Alligator mississippiensis: one gene and its partners. The protein of the gene in region 1 interacts with the protein of each later gene in a pairwise test. Links are inferred from orthologs where the notes say so. Each region holds a gene or a part of one and is shown on either strand. Other genes may lie near its edges. The genes, in order: MAL2, PTPN9, ARFIP2 and TPD52.

What was found.
Region 2: the proteins of MAL2 (region 1) and PTPN9 interact in binary tests that used the Homo sapiens proteins (3 or more experiments, as listed by UniProt). The two-hybrid records come from large-scale screens. The link is inferred for Alligator mississippiensis from reciprocal best matches to the Homo sapiens genes MAL2 and PTPN9.
Region 3: the proteins of MAL2 (region 1) and ARFIP2 interact in binary tests that used the Homo sapiens proteins (3 or more experiments, as listed by UniProt). The two-hybrid records come from large-scale screens. The link is inferred for Alligator mississippiensis from reciprocal best matches to the Homo sapiens genes MAL2 and ARFIP2.
Region 4: the proteins of MAL2 (region 1) and TPD52 interact in a two-hybrid assay, tested with the Homo sapiens proteins (2 studies listed by BioGRID and IntAct). The link is inferred for Alligator mississippiensis from reciprocal best matches to the Homo sapiens genes MAL2 and TPD52.

The regions. Positions count from the first base shown.
Region 1 is NC_081826.1:23,438,646-23,446,441, forward strand, and holds the start of MAL2 (protein MAL2), read right to left. Parts: upstream 3,008-7,796; 5' UTR 2,960-3,007; coding exon 2,828-2,959; intron 1-2,827. UniProt on the Homo sapiens protein: Member of the machinery of polarized transport. Required for the indirect transcytotic route at the step of the egress of the transcytosing cargo from perinuclear endosomes in order for it to travel to the apical surface via a raft-dependent pathway.
Region 2 is NC_081834.1:28,032,296-28,039,746, forward strand, and holds the start of PTPN9 (tyrosine-protein phosphatase non-receptor type 9), read right to left. Parts: upstream 3,003-7,451; 5' UTR 2,771-3,002; coding exon 2,738-2,770; intron 1-2,737. UniProt on the Homo sapiens protein: Protein-tyrosine phosphatase that could participate in the transfer of hydrophobic ligands or in functions of the Golgi apparatus.
Region 3 is NC_081824.1:483,430,580-483,437,414, forward strand, and holds the start of ARFIP2 (arfaptin-2), read right to left. Parts: upstream 3,001-6,835; 5' UTR 2,911-3,000; intron 2,752-2,910; 5' UTR 2,745-2,751; coding exon 2,646-2,744; intron 2,562-2,645; coding exon 2,453-2,561; intron 2,157-2,452; coding exon 2,041-2,156; intron 1,962-2,040; coding exon 1,740-1,961; intron 1,618-1,739; coding exon 1,460-1,617; intron 1,283-1,459; coding exon 1,108-1,282; intron 246-1,107; coding exon 90-245; 3' UTR 1-89. Other genes in the region: TIMM10B (mitochondrial import inner membrane translocase subunit Tim10 B), read left to right, coding at 3,151-3,186, 3,270-3,365, 3,447-3,626; DNHD1 (dynein heavy chain domain-containing protein 1), read left to right, coding at 3,752-3,792, 3,887-4,018, 4,143-4,346, 4,431-4,541, 4,787-5,603, 5,783-6,250, 6,571-6,814. UniProt on the Homo sapiens protein: Plays a role in constitutive metalloproteinase (MMP) secretion from the trans Golgi network. May have important functions during vesicle biogenesis at certain cargo subdomains, which could be predominantly utilized by secreted MMPs, such as MMP7 and MMP2.
Region 4 is NC_081826.1:54,103,373-54,110,814, reverse strand, and holds the start of TPD52 (tumor protein D52), read right to left. Parts: upstream 3,014-7,442; 5' UTR 2,775-3,013; coding exon 2,651-2,774; intron 1-2,650.

The DNA of each region.
Region 1 (7,796 bases):
TGAGTTTATTCTTATTTTCCTTTAGGCACATGACATTTGGACAAAAGGATAAAAGGCAATAAATGAAAAGTAAAATATTTTAAGGTTAGAAAAGCGATGGCAGACTGGATCTGGAAGGCTAAGTAAAAGGAAGAGATAGGCCAAGTTCTTTGCACTTAAGCTTATGTAACAAAGAGCAGAATTTAGCCCTCCCAAATGTCATTGTAGCATACTGATTGATCACAATGAATATGTCTTCATCTATAACAAAAGATACCCATTAAAATCACCATTGCCACTGGAAAGTGTTCCTATGTCTTTAGATCAACATGGCTACAACCTATATCCTCTTTAAGATGGAAAGCTTAATTTAGCTTAATAGTTAAGACCTTATTTAAGACAATGGGCAGTAATGACAGTGATCAAATTCAGGCTGAGTGGCCATTTCCAGTGTATACCTCCCAAGGCATGAAGCTGGAAGCAATTTTCCTTTTTTTTTCCAGATAGCAAGAACTTCAATGGAAAGCCTGCTTAGTTTCTTTTTTAATCTGGGCCTGGCTCAATTTCCAGTAAGAACAGGTAAATCCTTTGTGGTATTAAAACACAGCATATATGAATCCAATACATCTGATGTAAAGATGCACTGGCAGCCTGAATTCACAATTTCACAGGTTAGTCTGTCAGCCTTCAAGCTATTTTCAACAGTTTCTTTTCATGATGCATCTGCTGTGAGAAAACCTACTTCCTTCTACAGTAACATGGCACTGGAGTCTCAAATCCTTTCTGCAGAAAACAGGTATTTCATGGGTAATAGCCACACAGTCTTTCCACTGCATCCCACCCCTGAGATTGGCATCACGGTTACTAATTTTAGTATCTACTTTGACAATGATTTCCCTGATAATGCACCTGTCCAGTGGAACTAAAGCAAGGCACAGCACTCGTATTACACTGGTTGGCAAAACCATCAAGGAGTTAACTAACTCAGGGTCATTTCTGACTTGCCTGAGAATGGAGGACTGCACACATACAGAAGCCACAGGGTGGAAGTCAGGTGTGTACAGGGCTCCTCTGGTGGTTAGACCAGTCGACTCAAATCTGCAGCTGTAAGTAAGACTCTAGTCTTGTAACCTACATTTCCCCAGGCTCTCATGCTCAATTAGTAATCACAGCTGCGAAGCTGAAAACCCTTCTGCTCCAGCTTAATTCTAAGGACCTGACCTGTCCCAGTGAGCTCAGTGAGGGCACTTGGGTAAAGTTGGGCGTGCAGATAGAAGGCTGAGGAAATGTAAGCACATATGTGTGTATTTGTATGTAGAAACATGTATGTGTGTGTATACTTCGTATGCAGAAGGGTGCCTGTAATTTGTATGCAGAAGTGTGTGCACGTGTACCACATAGATAGAAGGGCACGCATACTTTGTATGTAGAAGGGTGCGTGCACTTCATGTGTAGGTGCCTGCATTTTGTATGTAGAAGTGTGTGTACCATATAGGTAGAACAGTGTGTTCTTAGTACAGAAGGGTGTGTGCACTTTGTATGTAGGTGCCTGCAGTTTGTATGTAGAAGTGTGTGTACCATATAGGTAGAACAGTGTGTTCTTAGTACAGAAGGGTGTGTGCACTTTGTATGTAGGTGCCTGCAGTTTGTATGTAGAAGTGTGTGCATGTGTACCATACAGGTAGAACAGTGTGTTCTATGTACAGAAGGGTACATGTACTCTGTATGTAGTTGCCTCTACTTTGTATGTAGAAGGGTGTGTGTGTGTGCGTACCATGTAGGTAGAAGGGTGCGTATACTCTGTACACAGAAGGATACGTGTACTTTGTATGTAGGTGCCTGTACTTTGTATATAGAAGTGTGCATGTGCATATCGTATGTAGAAGTGTGTGCGTGCGTACCATGTAGGTAGAAGGGCATGCATACTTTGTATACAGAAAGGTACGTGCACTCTGCATAAAGGTGCCTGCACTTTGTATGTAGAAGTGTGTGTGTGTGTGTGTGTGTGTGTGTGTGTGAGAGAACCACATAGGTAGAAGGTTGTGCATACTTTGTGTACAGAAGGGTGCGTGCACTCTGCATGTAGGTGTCTGCAGTTTGTAGGTGTGCGTGTGTGTCTGTGTGTGAACCACATAGGTTGATGGGCATGCATACTTTGTACACAGAAGGGTGCGTGTACTTTGTATGTAGGTGCCTGTATCTTGTAAGTAGGAGTGTGTGTGTGTGTATGACATAGGTAGAAGGGCACGCATACTTTGTACACAGAAGGGTGCGTGTACTCGGTATGTAGATGTGCATATTTTGTGTGTGTGTGTGTGTGTGTGAGAACCACATAGGTAGAAGGGCACGCATACATTGTACACAGAAGGGTGCATGCCCTTTGTATGTAGAAGTGTGCGCATGTGAACTATGTAGGTAGAAGGGTGTGTGTAATTTATACACAGAAGAGTGTGTACTTTGTATGTCGGTGCCTGTATTTTGTATGTAGAAGTGTGTGTGTGTGAACCACGTGGGTAGAAGGGTGCGCATACTTGTGGAGTGCACACACCCTGCTGTGTACATGTAGCTGCCTGCACTCTGTATGTAGGGCGCGGGAGTGTGTGTGTGTGTGTGTACCACGCAGGTAGAGAGGCGCGTGCACCCGCACGTAGGCGCGCCTACTCCGCACGCAGCCGTGTGCCGCCCGCCGTGTGGACGCGTGTGCCCGCGCCGTGTCCCCGGGCGGTCGCGCGTGTCCGTCCCCCCCGCCTGCCCCGGGCCCCGTGCGCAGGGGCCGCTCGCGGCGGTGGCGGTGGCGGGACGCGGCAGCCTCCCCCCCGTCCCAGTCCCGGTCCCGGTCCCGACTCACGATCTCGAGGCAGATGAAGGCCCCCGAGTAGGTGCGCAGGATGTCGAGGCCGCAGGGCAGCGTGACCCGCGGCGCCGGGAAGTAGGCGGCAGGGTTGGGGGGCGGCGGCATGGCTCCCCCGCGGGCCGACATCCCGCTGCGGCCCGGACGTGGCTGCGCCCAGGTAGGACGGGGCGGGGCGGCGCCGGGGGAGGTGCCGGCAGGTGCTGGGGGGAGGCGCTCCCGCTCCCGCCCCCGGCCCCGCCCGGCCCACGCGGCGCGGCGGTGTCGGGGCTCCAGCCCGCGAGGACGGCGATCCCGCACCGTGCGCGGACAGCTCGCCCGCCTGCTTCGCCACCGTCCTCCTCAACCTCAGCCTCCCTGGCTGCAGCTGGAGCCCTCGCTCCTCGCTCTGCCCTCGGCACCGCCGGCAGCAGCCCGGCTCCATCCTCTTGCAAGCCCCCTCCGGGGACTTGGAGGCTGCTGTTGCAGCCCGCTGCGTTATTATGAAATCTGTGAAAGCTATGCATTTAAATCGCCGTGCCTCAGGCCTATACGGAGGGGGGCCCTCGCAGTGCCAACACGTGCCCCTGCGGGCAAGTTCAAACCCTGTCCCCCATTGTGTTTACTGTGCTGCCTGGTGGCCTTCGAGCTCTTCACACAGGGTACATATAGCATCGCCTGAAGATGACTGGCACAATAATGTTGCCTTCAATTTATGCCGTAGATGCCGTCCCTGGACGGGGGGGCACAAATCAGGGTGACTGCCACAGGCCCGGTGCTTTGGGGGGCCCTGCAGAGCCAGCTCCACCCCCTTCCCCCCATTGCCAAATCTTCCGCTTGGTTTCTTGCATCCAGGAGCGGGGCCCGGCACAGGCTGTTTTGCCCTGGGCCACGCACCCTGCTTGGATCATCTCTGGTTCCTGGGGAACAGCACCTACATTGAATTTGCACAAAGCATACCTAGTTTACAGTGGAACAGATAGGGATGCCTTCCCGCGGCAGTGAGGGACAGAGACTGGGGCTAGGGAAAGGGCGGGGAGAAGAGTGTTCGCTGAGAGTCCTTGAGTCTACCCAGGGGTGTCTCGGGTCTAAAGGTGGTGAGAATCACAGGTCTAATGGTATTGCCAAGCCGAGCGTTCGGAAGTCACAAGTCAGTTCCCCTGCAAAACGCCAGGTCCGTGTATAGATCATGAAACTTTAAACTTTGGAGGAGACGGCATTTACCTTCTGGTTACAGAGGCTTTTCTCTAAGATCGTTTTCTGTATGACCATTCTGTGTGATCTACTTTTTAATAAGCAGCACAAACAAAAAAAGTGGAGGTTACAGTATGTTCATGGTGGCAGGAGCTGAAGTTTTAAGTTTTCCTAAGTTTTTTGGGTGCGACACATGATTTTTCAGAAGTAATGAATGATGCAGCCTGGACCAGTACCTCTCCGTAGGATCATGTATTGAAAATGGGCCCAAATACTGGGCACACATGGGTTTCAGCCAATTGGGTCTGGACTCAATCTAGTCCCTGTTTCCAACTCTTGTGTACACAATATGTCCCCAGGGTCAAATCTTTCTTCTGAGCCTTTCACTGGGATATGGGACTCTATAGTCCAGCAGCCATGTATCCCACAGTATCAGTCTCAGACCAGCTGAGTCCTGTCGTGGCTTATAGATGTACTTTTTGGGCGTGTCCAGACCCTGTGTGTACAGGTAGATCCCAGAGCCTCTTTTGGTAGATCCTGGGTTGGGGGGAAAGCTGGGCATGTGCACTTGTGCACACCCACTGCCCCCAGCCCCAGCAGGTCAATCTGTGGGGGAGGGAAGGGGCAGGGGCCAGATTGAGGTCTCCGTGGCGAGCGGCTGACTGTGGCCGGCCAGGAGCAGGGGAAGGTTAGTGGGGCCCCAGTCCGGCCAGGTGGTGGGAGGATTGGAGCCCAGGGAGGCTCCTCCAGTGGCACTTGGGGCTCCCTCCCCATCTCTGCGGGGGCAGAGGCGGCTGAGGTTGCTGCCGCTGTGCCTCAAGTCCTGCTACAGCTGGCCACGTGCAGGCGCGGCTCAGCTCAGCAGCAGGGACTCACGTGGGGGTGGTCTTGGCCCAGCCAGATCTGGGAAGATCTGGTCGTCCAAGGGTGCGTGGGGGGTGCTCCCACCGCTGGGCACAGCTTGGTGGAGGCCCTGACAGCCCGTGCCCCTCCCACCTGTGCTCGGGGTGCAGCAGGCAACCCACAGCAGCAGCCACCTTGTCCCCAGCGCAGGTTGGGGGACATTGGCCCCTGGGTTCTTTGCCACGCTGCACCCAGCAGCAAGAATGCCCTCCCCCAGTGACCACCAGACCATGGAGACTTTCAGACCCAGCCAAGCCAGGGCCCAACACCACCTTTCTCTGGCTGCTGGGCAGGTGCAACTCAGTGCAATTGCAGCACAGAAGGGGGATCAGGCCCAGCTGGATCTGGGACACTCCATGGTCCAGGGGAGCATGGGGCAGGGGGCGGAGGGAAGTGGGGCAGGGCGGGGCAGGGCAGGACAGGGGGGCAAGGCAGCCAGGGGGACACAGTAGATCCTGGGGTGACCTTTAGTTCCAAAAAGTGATCTTCACCATAAAAAGGTTGGAGACCACTGCTCTAATACCACGTTTTCTCCCAATCTGTGGTTTGTCAGTTTTTCAGGCTGGATCAAATCCATTTTGCACTCTCCTTTCCTGCATATTTTTCTTCTCTGTGATGCATGTTAGCCCTCCCCCACCTGCTACAGGACAACACCTTCTGTTAGACCCTGTCGCTAAACATGAGTTATACTGGGAATTTTCCCTTTCACCCAGTGATGCTCACCCTACCGGCTTCTGTGCAGAAGGCCCATTGTTTGTGGTGCCAAAAGTTGAGGGACAATCAGAATCAGCTGCCTTAGACTGGCTTGTTAGTGGCTGTCCTTCACCAATGTCAAATGTCAAGAATATTTCATTAGAAAGGGACTGTCCACAGGGCACTAAAATAAATTGCCTTGAACAAGTTTTGACATGTTCAGCACTAATGCAAAAAGGAGATTCAAATTAAAAACAATTCACAATTTGATGCAGACCTGTTTCACACTATCACAGAGCTCCTGATGAATTTGGGTCATTAGTGGCAGTTGTGAAACTTTGGGTTTGGCTTACTGCCTTCTTTCAAGTTTTATTTTGCTCTAACTTCGACTGAAGTATTAAGTACCAGCTGGTCCAATGGAACGTCATACCAGTAGATATTGTCAATACTTGCAGCTTGAGAGAGAATGCCAGAGGCAGAGCTATTTCTAAAAAGCTGTTTGGTCACCAATAAGTAACATGTTCTGTATTGGTAGATTGGTATGATTTTTGCCATGCAAAATTTGTGTGTTGGCACAGCCAAGAGCAGGTGTCTGACTGGGGGTGGGGCAACTGTCAAGGGGCAGGGCTACCCATGTGGCCCTCGACAGTTCACCAAAACTTCGTAAGTGGCCCTCTACCCGAAATAATTGCTCGCCTCTGTTTTACATGGTCTTTTGTGACAGTTTACATGCTTGCAGATTCTAATGGATTTTTGTTCTGTTTTAAAAGTCTGAATCCTTTAAGAATTTTAAATGTTAGGATGCTAATCAGTTAGATTCAGAGACTTAAGCAGGTGTTTATGTTGTAGAGTTCGCTTCATATGTGTAAATATTTGAAATATTTGCATTTCGGCCTGCTGTAGTCTTTCCAAGCTGTGAGAGAGCCTAAGAGAATTGTGGAAGTGTTGTAGGAAGCTAGTTAATGCTGAATTGTAAGCTTTGTAGGTTTAGAAAGGATATTGATCCATTGATCCAAACCACATAAACAGAAATGGCTTATGCAAAACGTAAGATAAACTATAATCCTTTATGACATGTGGCATTGCCCATAGCAAAGTTTAAGGCATAACATATTACATATCACATCTTTTAGGCACCTCTGTTATGGTCTACCCTAATAGAGAAGACAGCTTGTCACAAACCTCTCAATTCCCTGAAGTGTTTACCACAAAATATTGCCATGTTAACTGTGAAACATGGCAATGCCTACTGGGCTGGACAAAAGCAGCGCAGCTTTTATATCTCCCTTGTGAATGCAATGATCATGAGATATGACAGCTAATATTATGTGTGCCATAAATCTGCATTATATTTCCTTATCACCTGGACATGGTATAAGGTTTCCTGATTTGCAGCTAAAGATATCTGCAGGTAGTAATAACAATGATATATCAGATTTCATGTTCAAAGAACTTTTATAAACATTACTGAACTCTCCCAAGACCACTGGAGACTATGTATAGCTATTCTGATTTCTTTGTTTCATCCTGCAGTGTCAGGGTGAAACAAAGGCCACCAAGGACTGGGCTCCCAGAAATAAGGCATATTATCTGTATTTCTCTTTTTTTAAAGTAGGCACCCACATGGTCGTCGCTAGGAGTCAAATGCTGGCAATATTTGCTCACAGTCAGATTTGTGCACACTGCTTCATTAAAATAAATAGAGCAGAGTTCAATGTGGGTTTTTTTTCGGAAGTATAAGGACAGTCTTCTCCAGTTACTTTCTCTTTCTGTAGAAAAATAACAAGAAAGCTCTTTGGGTCCTTTTTAGCCTTGCAGAACTTTTTTTTTTTTTGCTTTCCTTAATCTGGTAATTATTAATATAGCAAAAAATGTAAAACCAGCTGCCAGTTTCAGCGGATCTAGACTGCCTTGTTTAAACTTGGATTCATATCACATACGTCTTGTACTTCCAACTATGATTCTGATAATAACTGGAGTAGCTCTAGTGAAGTCAGTGAAATCAAATTAGCATAAAACAGGCACGAAGTAAGATTAGAAATAAGCCTTTTAGTTTCTTCCTCATAGACTTTTCTTTCAGTAATCTACTGGTAACAGTACACCAATGTCACATTTAAACTAGCAGATATCATAAATCAGCATTCAAATACCAGGATATTGAGATTTTTCTGACAGCCAGTTTGATAGCTTTATTTTA
Region 2 (7,451 bases), on another chromosome or scaffold:
ATGGATCTAACACTGAACCATATACATTATACTACTGGACAGGGCCTTAGTTCTCTATACAGAAAGGGTGATGTTCTGCCACTATCACCTTCCCCAATGTGACTCAGTATACTGTTTGACCATGTTGACCATTCCTTTAACAGAGTAAGAAAAGAGAAAGCGTGTTGTCTTCATATACTGATCCCTGCACCCTGTATGGTTCTGATCAGGAAAAGGAAGAGAAGAGCAGCAACAGTGGGGGGGGGGGGGGGGGGGGGGGGGGGGGGGGGGGGAGCCAGCATTGGTCAAATAAAACTGTGCCAATTGCTTGCTGGGAGCGATGTGGAAGGCGAGCAGAGCAGATCTTTTTGAGAATGATATGGGCTGAAGGAAAGTGAATCAAAATGGCAGCCTGCATTGCTGCAGGGGCAGGCAGCAGGAATGTGAGGCAGCTACAGGGCAATCCCAGACCTCTGTTCTAACACCAGCATCTTCTGATCACTTCCCAGATATAAACAAGTAGGCTGTACTTTTAGCTTTAATTCTACATATAAACTATCGAGTTACTTTTTTCCTCTTAAGAAAAGCCACTTTTTCTTCCCCGTTCCCTTGCCCCACAAACACTGCCCAGATTTTTTTTTAACAGTTTCTGCTCCTTAAACCCAACATTCATTTAGGATGTCTCTTCTCAGACACAGGGATGAAAGAGGTTTACCTGCAACTCTTAAGGCAGATGAGGTTCTGTCTACAACTGCAGAGTTGAAAGTTAACAAAATAATCTACAGCCATGCTCTTAAACTTTAATCCAATCTCTGATTTTCCACAGGGGCAATATCCACATCAGTTTCTCTGCTGTTGTTCCAAGGACTCTCGCACTGTAGACGTGCATTCACGAGAGTTTTAAGACACCTTGGACTCTATACAGGCATTTCACTCTGAAACAACGGCAGAGTAAGAGAACAAAGGATCAGCTATATCAAATCAGAACAGTGGTCAGTCTGAAACAGCAAGCACTACATGATGATTGAGAGGAAGACCAAATAAACCACCCTAATGCACCTGACCACCAGTTTGAGGATGCGACATGGTAATTGCTCCCTGACAGGATTACTTGCCCTAAAGCCAGAGATCTGATTAAACTTATCTTGAAATTTCATTACTACAAACCTCTCTTGTGACCTAAGAGAAGAGATGGAGGTGAAGTCAGGGCATGTGGCTGGAAGGTACAAAGCGTGGGTTCCAATCCCAGCGCTGGGATTGCTCCTGTGGGAGCCAGGGCAAGTCACCAAGCTTTTCTGCGTCTTAATGCAAGACGTGGATAATACCACCTCGCTCACTAGAGGGTGTTCAGGTGGACTGAAGAAAATCACTCTGAATATGCAAAGCAAGTCTGAAAAAATCATATTTAAACAATCTAGCCTCTTTCCCCTACTGTTTGAAATCTCTAGACTGAGATTGTACTCTACTCACATACAAGAGCCAACTGCAAGGCTGAACTTTCTACTGTAATGTACAAACAGTCCCATGGCCTTGACTTTGGTACGGCCTAGCACAAACATCTGCCTGCAGATGCAAGACCAGGGCCAGGCTGAGACTTGATTTCCACTGAAACAAGAACCAGGAGGAGGCCTGGATTTTTCACAACAGCTCTGGTCTCTATGTCAGCAGAGGAAGCAGTATTTCCCTTTCCTCACTCCCGAGACTAGCAGAAGAGACACTTCCTTGTCTGGTCTGAGAACTGCTCAAAGCCATCTGGTCTCAGCCTGCACTGAAAGAAGGCAGTCCCATGAGAGGGCCAGGATAGGAGAGGAGTTGAGAGAAGCAGGTAGAAGGCAGCAAGTACAGCAGGGCAGGGAAAGAGGCAGGGCCAGGCACAGCAGGCAGAAACCGTGGATGTAGAAGACTTAAAGATGCAGCTTAGGAAAGTCGGCACAGGGCCCTGGGAAAAGCAGGGCTGGCTTTACACTTCCCTAATAGCTCTCCGGTCACTGCCAGGATGAGGTTAGCACCCCGGGCCCTGCAAAGTCACAGCAGAGGGTCTGTGTCTACAAGCATACAACATCCTCCTGCATTGACGCAACAGGGTGGCAGGAAGATGCGCACGTCATGGGCAGAGACAGGGCGTGGGAAGCAGAAAAATCTCCACTCCAGCCTTCGAGAGTTGAACCAAACGGACAAAACAGGAAGGGGGGGAGGGGGGCAGCAGGTTAAAAGCAGCAAGGCAACAATTCCAGACAAAGATCATTGCCCCAGCGTGTTTCAAAGCAGGGAGTGGCATCACATGGCACCTGTAACAAGGCACCAGGCTCCCAACCCAGTCACTGCTGTAGAGATCCCAGTCTGACACATGGGTAAACTGAGGCACAAAGTCACCTCCCCAAGGTCACATGTAGGGCCTGTGACAGGCTCAGGGACAAGCAGCAGGTGCTGGGGGGACCCTGTAAGAGCACATGAGGTGGCAGGAAGGTCCAGCTATCGTGCCTCAGGGTGGTGGGTTCATTCAAGCCAGCCAGAGGATGCAAAGGGGGGGGGGAAATCTTTGGCGCCCGCCCGCTCTTCTTCGCGCGGGGCTGCAGGGAGCGGAGCGCGGGGACGCAGCCGCCCGAGCACGAAACGATCTTAAGTGTCTCGTCACCGCCCCAACCAAACGCACTGGAGCAGGCGCGGGTGCCCCCCCGGGCCAGGGCCACAGTGCGCACGCGCCGACTCGGGGTTCCCGCGGGGGGGGGGGGGTGCGGGTCGGCGGGGGGGGTCCTACCTGCTCCTCCTCGGGGCTCAGCTCCGCGGCCATCCCGCTCCCCCAGCCTCAGCGGGGCGCGGCGCTGCCCATGCCCGGCCCGGCCCGGCCGCCGCCTCCCGCTCGTCCGGCGCCGCCGGCTGCGGCTGCTGCTCCGGCTCCGGCCACGGCTAGAGCCCACCCGAGTCCCCACGTGGAGCCGCCCGCGCGCGCCCCGGGCCGCGACCACAGCGCGCCGCCCGCATGGCCCCGCCGCTCCCCGAGCCTCGCAAGCGGCGGCGGCGGCGCGGAGCGAGGGAGATTGGGAGGAGGCGGCCACAGCCCCCTCCCCTCCCCCGGCCGGCGGGCGGAGCCCCCGCGCCTCCATTCACAGCGCGGCAGGGCCGGGGGCTGGGTCAGGCCGGTCCTGTCCCGGGCTGCGGCTGCGCCCGCGGAGCCCTGGAGGCGCCCGGCGAACCCCCGCGCCCTGCCTGCAGCCTCGGGCACGGTGTAGGGCGGGGAGGAGGAGGGCTTTCCTCGCGGCCCCGCGTGTGTCCCGGCACAGCGGGGAGCAGGCCCTGGGCCTGCGGGCCCGGGAGAAGCCGTGCCCGGGGGAAGCCGTGCCCGGGGGCTGCACCCCACATCGCGGGCGCCCACGCCGACTCCAAGCGGAGGAGCAGGACGCCGGGCAGTGAATGGTGCAGCTTCTTTCTAGGAGGCTATTGGCGCTGGGGTCAAGGCCTTGGGGTTTAAATACAGACCCATGTTGGATGTACCGAATAGATCCATCAGTCTGCCCTGCCCTTAAAAAAAAAACCCTCCCCCTAATGTCTGCCAACATAGAGGTAGGTTTTGTTTTGTTTTTAAGGGCAGGATAAACCAATGGATCTATTCAGTACATACAATGTGGGTACTCTGCTCTGAGCATCAGGGGCTAGGATAAGCAATGCTCCAGCAGCTGTCAGTGTTTTACCTACCAGGCTGTCTAATGCAAAGATGATCTCCAGGATATGGTGGTTAAAATGCTAGTAGTTGCAAGTCCCTTGTCTACATTAGGGCCCCCAGTGGAGCTGAGTGATGTGAAAAAAATGCATTTTGGGGAGCAAGGAGCGAAAGTCCTGAGAAACTAAACAGCTAAAGGTCACCTTGGGCTCAAAGATCTGGCTCACCAGTTCAGCTATAGGTCCCTGCTTCTTGGCTGTATTCTGTAATCTGATACAGATTTGAATGCAGCTTCTGAACACATCACTTCCTCCATCCTCATGTGCGCTCTCTTGTCAAAAATCAAATGCCTCCTCTCTGTATCTACACCCACAGAGACAAGTTTAGGGTAGACTGCTATGGTGTGCATCCAGAGACTCAGATCTGATGCGAGAAAAATCATTTCAACCCCCAAGTTCAGGTCCTGCAAAAAATACACACTGCACAACTCACCCTTCTCCAGGAATCAAACAGATTTCTCTAATCCACCATTATCTCCCTCTCTGGTATGTGGCCATTAAGAGAGAACTCAGATGTACAGAATGACTGTTCCTTTGGGGAAGTGTTGCTCATAGATGCAGATTATACCTTCCCCATGATTTATGACTACCGTCAATATTCCCATGGCCTATTGTCAGTTCCTGTCTTAACTTTGACTGTCAGCTCTTTGGGGCAAGGACCATTCCTTTTGTTCTGCTTTTACTGGGTTTAGCACACCAAAGCCCCTGGTTCATTATGGGCTCATAGGAACTCTCTCGGTCCAAATCAGTAAAGCTGTCTGAAAAGCTGAACATCAAAGATGGGGCCTCCCCCTAAGTGTGGAGTGCCATGGCTATCACTGGCCTGTAATGATTTATGTTGTGCATTATGTTTGCTTTTCTGGTACATTCACCTTAATGTTATTGTGATTCACCTGGTCAATTATTATTATAGCCCACAGGCAGGGCTGGGTGATATAAAAACTACTGTCTGGCAGACCAGGAACTGTAACGGGCACTAGTCAGAGGTTTCAGCCACCCTGGCTCATGGCGGCACTTCATGGAAACCATCGCCATTGATGTATTTGACCTCTATAAATAAATAGTATAAAAACAAATATACCCACACAGATATTCTCACTGTTTTAGAGGAAGACAAGAGAGACAAATATGAATGGGATCAGTGGGCTTTCTGTGCCATTCTTCCATAATACAACAGAAAGAAATTTCGGGACCCATCACGACATAGCCAGAGTATCCACAACCCCCCCTCAGCCCCCTGCTTACCAAAGATTTGTCTCCATCTCAGCAACAGAAGTCTTGGAGGCTGTTTCTACTTGTAGATGAACAGCAGCCATGGTTGGAAGGATATGGGAACAGCTGCAGGCCAACGGGCTTTTTAACAACATTCTTCAGAGCATTATTGCATGACAAACACTACGCTCTGCCTCTGGGGGCAGGTCAAAGCACTGCAACAACCATCACTGTCAAAAAGCCACATCCAAGCTGGCCTCCATGGCTGTGTCAGGGGTGGACATTTTATTTAGCTGATGAGGCCTGGCCTGGCAACTTGCCCGCAACCAAGGAGTTTGCACCTAACTGACAAAACGGAGCACAGGTGCGACCACCCCTGTCTTCTATATAGAAGCAAAGCCTGTAGAAGCTAGAGCCCAGCTGACAGTGCCCTTTCTACTTTCAAGCTGGGACTCAACTGTGGACTACAGCACTATGTTGGGGATGAAGAAACCTCTAACCTAGGGCATTACATTCAGCTGCACCCTGGGGCTGGATCTGGCCCACAGTCCATATGTTTAACACCCCTGCTCTAAACTTTCTTTCTGTAGACTTACACAGGCTATGCTGTGGTCATCCCTACTCTACTGAGCATTTGCTTGAGCAGACTGTTGGCATCTGACACACTTACACGTCACCACTTACAGGTAGTGGGAACAGGTGCATGCTGGGTGTGGAGGAGGACTGAGAACACAGTGATAAGACTATCACGCCCAGCAAATAAGAGTTATGGAAAAAATTGCTTTGGCTGCAGTGACTCCCCACACACTTTCACTTCCAACCTTAACTGCAAAGTCAATATTTTCAGAGCCTGGATGGTATTTTTAAAGAGAGTTATGCAGCAATATCAGGATGGGGCCTCTTTGTAATATATGAAAAGAGCTTTGCTTTCCCTCTTCCATCAGAGACAACAGCCAATACAGCCCTTTTATCTGCCGTTGTATTCCACATTGCTCACTACCCTCTCTCTACTGCAGGACCTTGAAAAGATCTGTGAAGGACAGAACATCCAATTGCAATCTGAGCTGCAGCTTTCCCAGCCTTTACCAGAGGGATGCTAACTCTGATCCAGATCTTCCAAGTGCAATCGGAATAGCACCCTCGCTTACTCAGTAATGACCTAGGGTCTTTTATCTGTTGCTATACAATAGGCAACTGTTCATAGAAATCATAGAGTAGGGCTGCAAGGGACCTCAGGAACACATCTAGTCTAACCCCCTGCCTGAGGCAGGAAAGGTCAAGAAAGGCCCTTCCATCACCCAGCTTAAAGGCAAAGGCCCCCAGCACACTAATTCTACCACCTGAAGCTGCAGCTTACAGAGAGCAGTGTTCTTGTAAACATGCAGAACCTGCCACTGGTTTAAGCCAGAGTTGTTCAGCCCACGGGGCTTGTTGATGCAGTTGTCAGAGCTGCTGTACTGGAGCAGCTCTTGAGTCTACGGTAAAAACTCTGCTGCTTGACCCGGGCTAACTTTGGGGTCTTAGGTCACTGTTGGTGACCAAATCAACAGCAGGGGAAAAGGAAGAGCAAGTGGCAGCCAGACTTGCACCAATGCAGTGACTCCAACAGCCACACTGAGCCACTGCTGCCCTGCTGTTAGAGATGGACCATCTGGCCCCTGAGACTTGTGGTCTGGATCCAGCACACAGGGCCAAATGACTTGGACAGACCTGATTTAAACCATGTGTCTCAGGCCAACTTGCTCCTTTGCATGCTCCCCCCCTTCTCACTATGAAGGGAAAGAGAAAGGCAAATAGTTCAGCCACACCCCCCCCATTTCTTCACACACTAATAATAACCAGCTGTGTGAAATCATCTGAGGAACATTCAAGCCACTTGAATTTGTTCACACACCCGGGGTGTCATTTCCTAGCTGTGTGTGAAGAAAGAGGGTATAGTAGGCCAAAGCTCTTCCAAGCAATTTCCAGTGAAGTTATTACATTACTGTTGCCCATCTCTCTTACGAACAATGGCTTTCCAATCAAGTGATCTTGAGCCTCCCAAACTCCCAGCATAGAAACCAGCATTTTCTGGAAAGAATGGGGGTATTGTAGAGTTGGGGCAAGAAGATAAATAGACCTGCTGTGTGTACAGAATCTTCCTGCTGTCAGGGTGTATATCACGTCCTGTACCGGATGCAATTTCTTTTCAGAGACATACAGAGGTATCTCCCTGGAGATCAGGAACACAATCTGCAATGGTATTTACAGGATAAAATTTCATCTCCACCTATTAATTCAAATAGGCTGTCTGAAACTAAAACACATGCATTTTCTACTACAGTTGTGTGTTTAGGAAGGGGTATCAAACATATGGCCTGCATGCTGGAGCTATATCATCTGGCTTGCAGGCTCTTGGGAGACCAGGAATTCAAGGGCAGGGGCCACCACTGAAATCCAGGGTATGGAGCCCAGTTGGGGGGGGGGGGGGGGGTGTTGGCAGTGTGGAGTCATGGGGAGGAAGGAATAAGTGATGGCTGCTACCCACAAGGCTCCCTGTCACT
Region 3 (6,835 bases), on another chromosome or scaffold:
CCCCATGTTCACCACCACGCCCAGCCTGCCTGGCCTGGGGCCAGAGGTCAGAGTTCAGGTCCATGGCGGCCCGGCCGGCAGGCGGGTGCTCACTGCTCCTCCAGCCACGAGGGCTTCTCCGCTCCCGGGGTCTTGAGCTTGATGTTGAACTGCTTGAGGCTCTGCGCCAGCTGCTGCTGGTTGCCAGCGAAGTAGGCGGAGATGGCGTTGTGGAAAAGCAGCAGCTGCTTGTGCATCACCTTGATCTGGGGGCGAGGGGGGCAGGGGTCAGCCCCACAGCCCCCCCACAGCCGCCTAGCGCAGGGTCGAGGGCCTGGCCCCTGATCTGGGCAGATCAGCGCTGCCCGGCCACCTCTGGGCTATTCCTGAGCTGACCGGGAGAAACCCCTGCCTGCCCCCAGTGCAGCGTGGCAAGGCCCTGCAGGGCTGGTCCTGGCAGAAGCATCGACACAGTCCAGTCCCCATCCGTAGCCTGGGCTGCATCAGCACCCATTGCTGCTGAGGAAGGGGAGAAAACCCCTGACCCCAGGAGCAAGAGGTGGAAACAATTCCCACCCAACCCCACGGGGCAGCAGCAAAGCCCGGAGGTTGGGAAACACCCGCTGCCTCCGCTCTACACCCTGGGGCCAGCCAGTAGGACCCGCACCACCCCACACTGCACAGCCCGAGCGCCCAGCTGTGTCCCCCCACGGGTGCGTCTCCTGCCACGATCCGGCCGGGTGCAGCTCTGCCTCCTCCTGCCCCTGCTCTGGGCACAGGGTCCTTGGGAGGTCCAAGGGCGCTCAGGGTGGGGGCTGCTCTGGGGCGTCCCGCTGCCTCTTTTCACCGCACGCTCCAGGCGTCGCTGCAGCTCAATGCCCCCTTCCCAGCGCCTGTGCAGTCTGTGCTGGGACCCCCCCCACCGAAGACCATCCCCACCCTAGGCGCGTCCCACACCTCGCTGATGCCAGGGAGGTCTCTCCTGCCGTCCCACCTACCCTTGCACACGGCATCCAGGCTCCGCCACACCCAACGCCCAGCTATTGCCGTGTCCCGTGGCCACCCCCCAGCGCTGCCCCTAGCCCAGCTCCGGGGGCTGTGAACAGACCCTCCCACCCCCTGCCAGACCTTGTTCTCCTCCAGGAACTTGAGCTTGATGGCCACGTCCGCACGCAGCTTCTCGTACTTGTCCTTGTGGCTCTGGAATTGGCTCTGGGCGACATCCAGGCGGCAGAGCGTGCTGGCGTCCCGCGGGCCCAGGCTCAGCTCCTCCAGGTCCGTGCGGTACGCGTCATACTCCAGTCTGCCGATAGGGGCGAGACCGGGGTCAGAGAGAGCGTCCCCACCTGCCCAAGCCCCAGCACCCTCCATGCCCTAGCATCCCAGCCCTCCTACCCCTGCGCCCCTCACCTGACATCTGCACCCCACACCCCTCCCTTGGCCTCCATCTCTCTCCAAGCCCAAAACCTGGCTCCCACACCTGGCAGTCTCGTACTGCTTGACGGTCATGAGCGTGTCCTCCATGGTCTTGTTGACCAGGGTGTTGATGCTGGAGACAAAGAAGTTGACGGCGCCGAGCAGCGTCTCCCCGTTCTTGCACAGCAGCTTCTGCGTCTCCGCGTTGTACCCGAACTCCTCCTGCGGGCACAGCGCAGGGTCAGGCCGACGCCGCCCAGCCGCCACCATGCACCAGCCATCACCCGTGCTGCGGGAACGGGAGCGGGGCCCGGAGACCGCGGACCCCGGGCTCCACCACGTACCTGGAGCTCGGGAGACTTCTGGCTGAGGTCGGAGAAGGCGTCGCCCAGGGCGTGCTGGGTCTGCACCAGGCTGTAGAAGTGGCTGGTGAGGGCGCGCGCCAGCTGCAGCACGCACTCGTACTTGCGCTTGGTCTCCCGCAGCAGCTCGATCTGCGTCTCCAGCTCCAGGTCCACGGTGCGCGACCCGCGCCCGAACCGCTCCGAGATCAGCTGCTTCGTGCACTGCGGGTGCGGGGGGCGTCAGCACTGCCGCACAGGCGCCCCCCCCCCGCCCCGCGGCCACCCCAGGGGGGGGACCCACCTTGTACGTGTTGATGCCCCACTTCTTAACGATGTCGAACTTCTCCACGGCGATGCCCCTGACGACCTCCTCGCCCGCGGCGGCGGGGCCCGGGTGAGGCGGGTGCAGGCCGGCGCCTGCAAGGCGGCGGGCGGGGGGGTGAGCGGGGGCAGGACCGGGGCGGGGGGGGTGGCGAGGTCCGGGGCGGGGGGCGGAGGGGGCCGGTACCTGCGGACGCGCCGGCCTGGCTGGCGATGGAGTCGCTGGGCGACACGGAGGGTGGCGGGGGCCAGCGAGGCCGTGCGGGACGGCCTGGAAGGGGGGGCCAGGCCGGGGGGGCGAGCGCGGGGTGAAGAGGGGGACGCGAGAGCGTGGCTGACGGGGGTCCCCGGGGCAGCTCGACCCCCACCCCCCGGCGCCCGCGGGCCCCCACCTTTGCCGGCGCCCGTGGGGATGATGCCCTCGGCCGTGCCGCCGTAGCCGCCGGACACGATGCTGGTCTCGTTGAGGTTGGGCCCCGACACCATCACCTGCTGCAGGTCCTGGGGGGGGGGGGGGGGGGTGCGGTGAGCGCCACCGCGGCAGTGCCCCTCCCGGCCCACTCCTCCCCTCCCCTCCCCCCGCACCTGCTCGAGCCCGTCGTCCTCGGCCAGGCCGCCCGCGTCGCCGTTGCCGTGGATCGGGATCTCCATGGTGGCCGCCTTGCCCAGCAGCGCGTCCGTCATCCTGGGGCTGGGGGGGGCGGGGGGGTGCGTCCGGCCGGCCCCAATCCTGGCCCCGCGCCCGCGGCCACGTCCCCGGCCCCGCCCCCACGCCCCGCCGGCCCCGCCCCCTGCGCACCTGTCCCCACCCCCACCCGGGCCCGCTCCCGCTCCCGCTGCCGCTCCGCACCTGCTCCGGCGCCGCCGGGTGCCCCCGGGAGGCCCCGATCCCCGCTCGGCTCCGGCGCCCCCCCCCGCACAGCGGAATAGACGTCAGAGCCCGGGCAGGGGGCGCCGGGAGGCGGACAGAAGTGACGACATACTGAAGCCAGCGCGCGGGCGGAAGGGAGTCCCCCCCTGACGCGGACGAAGGGCGGAAGTAGGGGCGGAGTTGGCGTCAGAGCGAGGGCGGAAGTGGCGGCGCGCGGGCATGGAGCCGTCGGCGGAGCAGCAGCAGCTCCGCAGTGTCAGTGCCGGGGGTGGAGGGGGGACAGGATGGGGCGGGTAAGGGAGGCGGGAGCCGTTGGTCCGACCCTTGCTCCGTTGCAGCTGCGGGATTTCCTGCTGCTCTACAACCGCATGACCGAGCTGTGCTTCGCGCGCTGCGTGGCCGACATGGACTGCCGGCCGCTCACCCACCCCGAGGTGAGTGCGGGCGCACGGCCCCGCCCCCGCCCCGCTGGCCCCGCCCCCTCGCGCTGACCCCGCCCCCTCTCCTGCCCGCAGGACTCGTGCGTGGAGCGCTGCGCGGTCAAGCTGGTGCGCGCCAACCACAGCCTGATGCGCGCCTACGTGCGGCTCATGCCCGCCCTCGTGCAGCGCCGCGCCGCCGACCTCGAGGCCGCCGCCGGGATCGACACCGGGACCGGGACCGACACCAACGTGTTGCAGCGGGCGCCGCAATAAACCGTCCCCCTTCCCCCCACTCCCCCGAGTCGGCTGCGGGCGTGTGGGCGGGGCCTCGACGGGGCGGGGCTCGCGCTGGCCCCGCCCCCTCCCGCGCCGCCGCTAACGGCCCCGCATCCGCCCGCATGGAGCCGCCCGACGGGGCGGGCAGCCCGGGGCCGTCGCGGTGAGCCCCCCACCCCCGCCCCGGAGGGTCCTGGGGGTCCCTGTGTCCAGCTCCTGCGCGGGGCGCCCGCGCTCACAGCCGCGCTGCCCTGCAGGCCCCGGCCGGGCTCCCCCCGCGCCGCGCCGCCCCGCACGGGCGTGCAGACCGCCGAGGCGATGGTGCGGGACAAGCCCCTGGGCAGGACGGAGGTCGCCTACCTCAACGTCGCCGCTGGCCGCCACTACCGGTAACGGGCGGGGCTGGGTCACGGCTCCCGGGGGCTGCACCCCCCCCCCAACGGCTCCCCGGGGTGACGGGCACGACGCCGCCCTCGCCGGGGCGCCCCCTCCTAGCCGTGCTGTCGCCCGCAGGCCGTACAGCCTGGCCGCGGTGCCCAAGGCGAGGGCGGCCCCGCAGCACTACGTCTTCTCGCCCTTCGGCGTGCTGCACGTGCAGCCGGGGCAGGGGGCCGAGGCGCTGGCGCTGGGCGCGTGGCACCGGGAGGCCGTGCTCTGGGGCTTGCTGCGCGGCATCCCCGTCTTCCGCCGCTGCCTGCTGCGCGCCGCCTTTGCCCGGTGAGTGTCGGGGCCGGGGCAGGGCACGGCATGGCGGGGTGCAAGCCGGGCCTTGCCCCATGCTCTCGTCTCTTCATCCGGCAGCTGGCAGCGCGGCACCCGGTGCCTGCGGATGCAGCAGCGCCAGGCGGTCCTGGGCGCCCGCCTGCTCCAGGCCGTGCCCCACTTCGGCGCTGCCCTGCTCCATATCTCCAGGTGCGCGCGCCGGGGCTCCGGATCCGTCTGCAAAGCGCCCTTCTGCCGTGCAGGCCGCGTGGGGCCGGGGTCTGCCCCCCTGCCCGGGGCAGCTGGGGGGAGCACGGTCTTGCTGCAGGGCCTCGCCTGAGCGGGAGGGGATGATGCGGGGGCTGGGGTTTGGCAGGGGGCTGGGTGTCCCCCATGGCAGGCGGGGTGGGTCCCCCCACTTGAAGCCTTATCTGCTCACCCACCCACCCGTGCAGGCTGCTGCAGGAGCTGCGGTCCGTGCATTGGCTGCCCCAGGACAATACCCGCAGCTTCAGCTTCCCGGAGCTGCAGCGGGCCCTGGTCCAGGAGAAGAGCCACGCACGTGGCCTGCTGGCCCGCTTCCTTACCCTCTACACCACCATCCTGGAGCTGGTGAGCCCAGCCTGGCCGGCCGCTCACCCGAGCAGCCCGGTTTGGCGTGGCATGGCGCGGCACGCCCCTTCCATGGGTGCAGCACCCCCTGCAGCACCGCCCCTTGTCCAGTGGGGCAGGCAAGCGGGGGGCATTGGGGGAGCGAGTGCCCGCCCCTCAAACATGGGGCCACCTTGGCAGGTGCGCAATGACACGTACAGGATGGCGCGGGGGCTGCAGAGGGGGACGCAGGTGTGCGGGCGCCCCCAGGCTGGGGGGTCCGCGCACCAGCAGCGCCTGCAAAGCGAGGGGATGCAGCGGTGGCACCGGGAGGCCGAGCGCTGGCTGGGGCAACTGGGCAGCCTGGCCCGGCTTGTCAACCTGCTCGTGGCCCAGAGCCTGGTCTCCGTGGTGCAAGACCAGGTCGCCGCTTTCGTCAGCCACGTCATGCAGGTGCGGGGCGGGGGTGCCGGCCTGGGTCCCCGTGGCTGGGCTTCTGGGGCCGTCCCTGCCCTGACCGCCCCCCTGCCCTCGCAGGCCGACGGCGCCAGGCGCGAAGCCGTGCTGCGGGTGCAGCTGGTCTTCGATGCCGACAACCAGCTGGCGCCCTTCCCCTCGCGCCAGGCGCTGGAGGACAGCCTACTGGGTGCGCTGGATGCTGTGCTGGAGTCGGTGCTGGAGGTCAGTGCCCTCCACCCGGCTCTAGCCTTGCCCTGGTTGCAGGGCCTGTCCGTTTGGCCCTGGGCTGCTCTGTCGTGTCTGGCCCAGCCCCAGGCCTGCGGCAGCCGTGTGGATGGCAGGAGCCCGCGGGGGCTGCAGTGAGGCCCTGGAGACCCGCTGTGGCCCACGCTTCCCCACAGGTGTGCCAGACCAGAAAGGAGCAGCCGGGGTCACTGCCCGAGTCGAGTGCCTCGGAGGCCGGGATGGCACCAGGCCTGGACCCGCTGACCGGTGCATGTCCTCACCCTGCTGCAGCCCCAGGGCTGAGCGGGGTCCTCCCCTGCCCCGGTCCTGTCCCTGCCCCCAGCTGCAGCAGAGGGGCCACCCCGGTCCCTGCTACGGGGGGCTCACACTGCCCCCCATGCACAGCCCTCTGGGAGGCGGGGAAGGGCAGCATGGGGACCCCCGTGCAGCTGCTGCCCAGTCTGTGGGATGAGGTGCTGGGCACACAAGAGCAAGCCCTGAGGCAGCCCCTCGCGGGCCTGGAGGTGACGGGGCGCCGGGTGCACGGACACTACCCGGAGCCGGCGTGGGAACAGCTGGAGCAGGACCTGCGCACCAATAGCCGCATCCAGGGGGCCCGCGCCACCCAGCAGGCCCAGCTGGCGGTGAGTGTGGGGCTGCATCGCCAGGACCTGGTCGCACCCCCACCCCCTGCACTCATGGTCCCTGGGCTGCGGCCACTCTCGCTGCTCCCCTTCCCTTGGGGCTGCATTGCCCCCTTGCAGGGCAGCCACAGCCCAGGCACCCATCCCACGCCAGGCTGCTCCCGAGCTGCCCCAGGGGCCTGGCCCTCCCATCGGGACCAGGCAGGCCCTTCGAGGGGGTAGCACTGGCCAAGCCCCGACACCCCGGGCAGAGTGCCCTGCGTGGGAGCTGGGGCAGCACCGGCCCTGCCCCACGCGCTGAGCCGTGGCTGCGGTCACAGGCGGCGCTGGACGAGACGCGGGAGCTGTGCCGGGAGCACGCCTGGGTGGCCGAGGTGCACACCTTCGTGCAGGGCTGGAGCCCCACAGCACTGGAGGTTATGCGGGGCCAGCCGCCCAGCACCTACGCCGAGCACGTGGCCCAGCTCCGCGCCTGGGCCCGGCGCCTGCAGGACCTGCCGCCCGCCGTCGTCACCCGCAACCGCCTCTTCCTGGTGGACTGCAGCAGCCTGCAACAGGAGACCGGTGCGTGGCTGGGGGGGACCT
Region 4 (7,442 bases), about 31 Mb from region 1:
CAAGTAGGTCTGAATTCTTTTGATGCAGAAGGAACACATCTGACTTTCCTGAAAGTGCTGCTGTTCTATGACAGGTGACATTCTTGTGTTGCAGTATGGATGAGGAGCAGTAGGGTAACTAAGGATAATAATGAAGGATTTTTCACCAGCCTCTCTATAATACAGTTGGAGTTTTAGCGAATTAGCTTCCCAGTAGCAGGCAAAAAGCTTTTCATTTAAATTGGGTAAACAATGCTGAAATATCACTAGCAAGTGACTGACCCAACCCAGTTCCAACTGTCCATGTTCAAGAATACAGTTTAATTCTTACATATTTAAATACAACTTTATTAAGAGTTTGCAGAGCTATCTAGTCTGCTTATATTTTACAAGTTGGTTACTTCAAGTTTATATACGGAGATCCTGTTAGTTCACCGATGATTAAAAAGTTAGACCAAACTGAAAACCAATGTCCTCGTCAGACTAGAAACAGTCCCTAAAACAAAAATAAAGTTGCTTGCAGAGGAGAAGGATGAGATGAGAGCATTCCTTTAGAAACCTAGTTAATTTTAAAGCCACGTGTCACTTTTAACAAATGAAGTAAATACATTTTGTCAACGCAACTAGACCTGTCAGAAGATAAAAGGAAAAAAACAGGACCAAGTGAGTTAACTACCCAACAGTAAGAGAAGTGAATCTTGTTGAAACTGAGCCAAAAGGGGTCATTCAGCTTGAAACCTATCTCTTCCAATAGCTTGAGAAATCTATTTTTGTTAGCAAGTTAAGAAAATCTACTAATCAAAGCACCGTTAGTGCCAACCAGTTCCAAACCCCACATTCTCAACCATCTTACTATGTTGCCTTTTGGCTTGAAGGTTTCCCTCCCAATTTGTTCTTCATTCCCCCTTCCCCCCCCCAAAAAAAACAGCCCAACCCCCACCCCCACCCAAGACTTAAAAATAGACTGCAAGGTATAAGCTATTTACTTTTGTGACCAAGGAAGCCTAGCCATTTTGTAAGACTTTGTGACTGGGGCTGGGAGGACTCCCCTTTGAGAAGAGGACCCTACAGCCCTCAGTGCCCAGACATAGGAATGCTTTCATAAGAAAGTGAAATCCTATGACAGACACCACTGCTGCCCATCAATCTAAGAATATAGCTGCATCGATGAACCTTAACCAATCCTTCTTCTTTCAACTGCCAAGCAGACAAAGCTGGTAAAGATTTCTACGTATGTGACTGCAGAGGATATTGCTGGTTTAGATTTCATAAACAAAAGCTAGTAGGTTTGAAGAGTTTCCTGTAATGCCAGAGAAAAGTAAAGTTGAGAGAATCTTCTAAGTCTCCTTTCCCTTGTTTTACAGGGGGTGGGATAAATCTGCTGGGCACATCTAGAATGTCTTTGTTCTCACCTTAAATAAATATGAAGGTAGCAAACAGCTGTCTTTTCTCCAGAAGCCACTAAATCTAATATAGCAAACCCAATTCAACATTTGTGTCACTCTCTTCCTCAGCTTTCACTCATTTGTTATATTTCCCTAACTCTCTAGAGTCAAACTTCTTTGGCAGAATGTCTTAAAAACAAACAAAACAAAAAATCCCTCTACCTTGGGTTTCCTCACTGCTAACAATTAGGCACAAGCTGAATCTTGAATCTTGTGGGTGGGAAGGAACGCAGAATCAAGAATAGGTTAGGGAAGTAATAAAAGGTCATTCTTGGGTTGGAGAAACAGTATACAAGTGTTTGAGGTGTGTATATAAATTGGCACTTCCTGACCCTACTTATAAAAACCTATTTACAGTTTAAAACAAGGGTAATATGTAGGCTTCTTCAGTGCTCCATTAGCAGAATTATTCCCCGCCCCAAAATAAATATTCATCCCAAAAGAAACTGCTGTTTATGCCATAAAGTACAGTTAAGTATCTGCATGTACATGAAAGCCTGCCTACTGTATTTAAAAAAAAAAAAAAAACTATGTGGGGATATCATTTAAAGATATTAGGGGCATCTCTGCTGGAACTGAGCAATACTTTGTCACAGGATAAATAGTAACAACTATGAACAGCATTTAAGAGCACAGGTATTTTAAACTGAAGTATGCTTTATTGTGTGTGTGGGGGGGGGGGGGGGATTAGCTACAAAAAAACTGGCTGTTTGTTGATACTTCCTTTCACTCTGGGTTTAATTGCAAAATGGGTTATAAGTGACAAAGGTAATTCCTGGTCTGGAGAAAGTGTTCCCACGTTTGAGATTCAATTTCACCACCTGTTACTTTAGGACAGCCCACACAGCTTTTCTGTATTACCCTTACTTATAAAAACCTGTTTAAAAGTAAGAACTGGAAGTGCCAATTCTCACAGGTATATTAATTTGAGTCATATCATGTACAACAATCAGTTCATCCAAGATTTCCACTCCCCCTCCCCAATCATCCCAGTACCACTTATTCCATCTAAAATAGCAAGCCAAACTGTCCTTATTTATACCACGCAACCCTTTTAGTTTCTGTACTGTTGCTCAAATGTGGTTCAGGACAGAATTTGGCCCAGAAGTTGTTTGCTGTTGCTGCAAATGTAGCAATAATATTTTTTTTGCAGAAAAGTTTTGTTTTTCTTTTAGAAATACAACAAAGTAACAACAAAACAAACAAAAAACAGATTGAGAAGTTACCAGAATTCTTCAATGCAGGTGATTCAGGTGGAGAGACGTTCACGTTTGGTGACAGATAGAGGTAGTTTCTGTTAACTCCAGCATTGAAGTCAAATGGCGATTTATAATCCTCATATGAATCCATATCCTTTCAATCCTTTCCAGTTAGTTCAAACTGCATGGCTTCTTATCTCAGCACCCAGAGAAGCATTCATCCCAATTGTCAGTACATAGCCCCATTCCCTCAAAAATTCAAGCCATATGATTTAGAGATGCTATGCCTTCCAACTCGGCGCTGTCCTCAGACAACTTTTGAGATTTCTTTAATGATTGGGTTCACTACACCCATTTAATAAGTTACTTCTTCCCACGTCGTAGCTGGTACAGTCCACACAGTGCGCAGTTATGTTTCTGTAAATCTATAACCTGGGCTGGGTTTAAAAAAACAGAACGTTCCTTCAACAAACATTTGCTGCATATTGCATGCACAGGCTTCTGGAAGGTCTTGCTCTGCTGCAAAATTACATCAGGAATTTTCAATCACTTAACTGTAAATGTCAGCTGACTGCAGTTGCCTCAGGATATCCTTAATCTTCTAGGACACAAGAAGATTACTAGCCATAATCCACCCTGTGTGCCATCTGTGTTGGCCTTTTTCCTTAATAGAAAAGAGTTCTGAATGTGCAGCTTCCCCATTTCTCTTGCTATTTTTGGTGTGGCAATCGTCAGCCAGAATCCAGGTATTGTTGTTACTAATGAAACATTACGCTTAGTGCAAGCTTAGCAATATTATAATATAGCGCCAGTCTCTAGGGTTTAAAATAAGTAGACTCATTTAAGGAAAGGGCTGTGTACACGCTTGCAACTTTCTCAAGATAAGGTAGGTTGCCCCATCACTTGTATGAATTCTGTTTCTCGGAGCTTTGATAGCTAGGGCAGCAACAAAGCAGCTTCTCTTTTGCCTCCTAAGGCCTGTACCATGACATTCCATAAGTCTGTTACAGAAAGACAGAGTGCTGTAGAAAAGCCCCACTAGCAGTACAACTATCTTCCTCCTTGTTTCAACCATCTTGGCTAGGGACAGATGTTACACATAAACCAGTTTAAGTGATCAGAAACTGGTTTAAACCATAGAACGGAAGCTCAGAGCACATAAACCAGTTTCAAAGTGGCTGAAACTGGCTTAAAGATAAACCTGGTTGAATGCAGTATCAGACTTAACTGATTGGGTCAAACCGCTTTATGGAACTTGTCCCAGACCCCTTCCTGGTTCAAGCTAAATCACAACCCCCCAGCATGCTCTGCAGGTCTGGGCTGGGCTGTCTGCTCCAGCAGAGAAGGATGCAGGGGAGAGGGAGGGTTAAACCCCACTTCTCCTGAGTACAGAGCTGCCTTGCCCTGCTAAACTTACTGGGGGCCCACAACTGTGGACTACAAATCCCAGAGGCACCTGGAAGCAGGAAAAGGAAGTGATGAACAACCCTGCAGAGTTCTGCTTATGTGAGTCTGCACTGGAAATCCCAGAGACATCAGGGGCAGCAGGAAAAGGAAGCGAACACATAGCCCATGCTGGCTATGTGCCAGAAAGCAATGCTCTAGCCTCCCTGGCTTCTGGCCTCAGCTACTGCAGGCATGTGGCTGTATTTCCCGAGTCAAAAGTAAATATCTGTTCAGTTATTTCTCAGTTAAATCTCTGCGGCTTAGACTAACCTGCAAAGACTGAACTGATTCAACCTTGGGCTTTTTGACTATCTGTACTTAGCCCTCATGTCAAGTGTATAAACATGGTATTTACAAGAACATGTGATGGTGGAACCCAAATGCTCTCATTCCACTGGAGTTCTACCAGGCCACTGAAGAACTTTCTTTCTTTCTGAGCAGATTTCTCCCTCAACCAACTAAAGCGCCAGATTCCAATAGCTTCCAGGGACGTAGCATTTCTACAAAGGCCAAATTGTCTTTGGGGAAAGAAACTGCTGCTAAAATTAGAGCCACAGGACCATGGTGAGATTACACAGTAAGGTATAACCCACACTTCTCTGCCAGCGGGAGACAACCATGACTGACTGCCTTCCTCAGAATGAACAGGGATAGCTCTTGGGTGAGTTGAAAAGAAAGCGCTTCCTAAGAGGAACTCTGTGCAAATGGAAAGGGCAGAGTATTTTTTCCACAGAGAAGGGAGGAGAAAAAAAGGAAGGAGACACACATTGTTCCCCTTGGATGAAAGGAATTTCTAGAGAATAAAAGGAAAATACAGTTAAACAAAGCAGGAGAGGAAGGGAGGAATGGAGGGGAGGGTGGGGAAAAGGGAGAAGAGTAGGGGTTAAATGCCTTTGGAGAGTGGAAAGCAAGCAGGGTATTTTTTTGTTAGTTTGTTTTTTACCATTAAGTTTACCATGTCAGAGTTAAGTGCCACACTAAAGACCAAAGAGTTGGGGCAGCTGTTAAGTATATGGCAGGAAGATGCAACTGGAAGCTTTCGCTGCTGATTAAAGTTGGTTGTAGTCAGCACCAGCCAATCCATGGCTTGTAAGCCACATGCTGTTTGTGAAGTAGCTTGATGTGGCTCTTGCAAAGCCAAAGACATTGATCCTTAAAATGCCCTACCACAGCTCTTTTCCTGGATTGGGGAACCACTGGAAGCTATTGGAAGCAGAGATGCAACATGTAGGGTTTCCACCTGGAGTCAGAGATGACCAGATAGGTATGCATACAGGTGCTAGGACATCCACACAAATCGAGCCTGTGGGTCACAGGTTGTAGACCCCCAATTTATACAGATTTGTTTTCACAGCTGTTGACTTGCTGCAGCTCTTTAGTGAGGCTTTTGGGTTCCCATCAACACAGAGCCTGGGGGCCAAAAGGCAGAAATTAGGTCTGCTTAAGCCTTTATCTTGCAGATGTCCTCACAGGTGCTTAAACATTTGCACACTATGTAGCCCCACAAAAGAATTATTATTATTATTGATAAGCGTTATTATGCTGCCTCTTAAAGCCTGGCTAAAGTATAGGCCTCAGAATGAAATCTACTGTTATTGCTCACATCTTAGTCCAACTGTTCAAACAGTGGCTCCTACCCATGAAAAGATTCAACATCCCTCCCGTTTGGTTGTCTGTCCTCTACTACAAAATGACAGTTGAGGGTATCCAGAACTTCACTACATTGATTGCTGGAATCAGTTTTCAGTTATGGCATGGCAAATTTATAAACATTTCTTTGCTTCTCCCTTATCCCCCCCCGCCAGTGAATTTACAGTGCACAATGATATATGTCTTCAGCTGTCATTTTACCACATAAAACCCATAAACCATGGTCCTGTTTGAGCCACCAGACTACCTACTTGTAGGTATGAAAAAAGCATATTCAATCTATTGCACCTCTTATCTGCAGGGCTGTAGCATACTTAGAGAACATTGTTTGGACTTGTGAAATGCAAAACTATATTGCTAAGTTTTCTGATAGGAATATGATGTTGACATTTCAGCAATCATGGGAGAGAGAGGCTGAATGAAGGATGGTTTGAAATATGGAGGAAAGTCAAGTAAAAGTAGTTTTCTAAGGGAAGTTTTAAGCTTATTACATTTGCCTACTTTTATTCTAGATGTCAATCAGTATAAGTCTTCCAACATGCACAGAGAACTGTTCTCCAATATAAACTGTTCTCATCAAAGGAGTACACAGAACTAAAGCAAGATTTCACTAGCATCCTCTGGGTATTTCAGCATGAGGATTCAATAAGAGTTGGTTTTCCCTTGGAGTCCATGACGATTAGGTAGGTCTAAAACAGAAACACACAAGCAAAAAAAAAAAAGTCATGATTTCCCTTGATATAATTTATTGATTATTTTTACTGGTTTATGCTGCCCTTTCCATAGAAAGGGCTCATGGGAGCTTACAGCAGTAAAAACAGAAATTTATTTTAATAATTTGTTTTAATTTTTAAAAGTTGAGTGTCACAAAACAAATTCCCACCCCCCAAAGTAAAGAGCAATCCACTCCACTGGCCTACTCCCACTCCCTGCCTCTGACCTAGAAGAGCATCCCCGCACCCAATGCAACCCAGCCTTCCTTTCCTTACTCCACAAATTCACTACAGGCAACCCCTGCTTAGCGCTCTTAATTGGTTCTGGGAAAACCAAGCGCTAAGCAAAACAGCATTAAGTGAAACCCATTTCCCCACAGGATTTAATGTAAATAAATATAGTTGGTTCCACACAACCTGCAGGCCCAAACCCCATGCTCCTGCTGCCCCGCCTTGGGCCCTACCAGCCAGGGATTTACAGCAAGGAGGCAGCGAGGCTCCAGCCGGCATGGGGGAAGCAGTGGGGCCAGCTGCCTGCCAGCACTCGCACTCCACTCCACCTAGCAGGGGCTCCCTCCAGGACACCCAGCACTGGGACTATCTGCCACTGCCAGATTGCTGCAGGCTCATGAAGGTGTCCATGCCCGTGGACGAGCGAGTGACTGGAACACGGCACGGGTCCAGTCCTGGCCCCACTGCGTCCAGGGATAATGCACACGTGGCCTGCCACTCCCGCCTCCCTGCCAAACCAGGTATGCTCATGCCCCCTGCCCACCTGCCCCTTCTTGCTGCCGCCAACATTCCTGCTGTGCTCCTGCCACCCTGCCCTGGGCACCAGCCCAGGCTCCGCGGTCATACCGCCTTCCTCTCCCCCTTTCTCACCACCGCCACTCCTCCCTGCTCGCTCCAGCACCACGTGCAGGAGCAGATCCCACTCGCCTGCTGCCCTCGCTGGCAGTCACTCGCCATTTCACTTGCTGCCGCCGCTGTTTCTCCCCAGCCCTGCACTG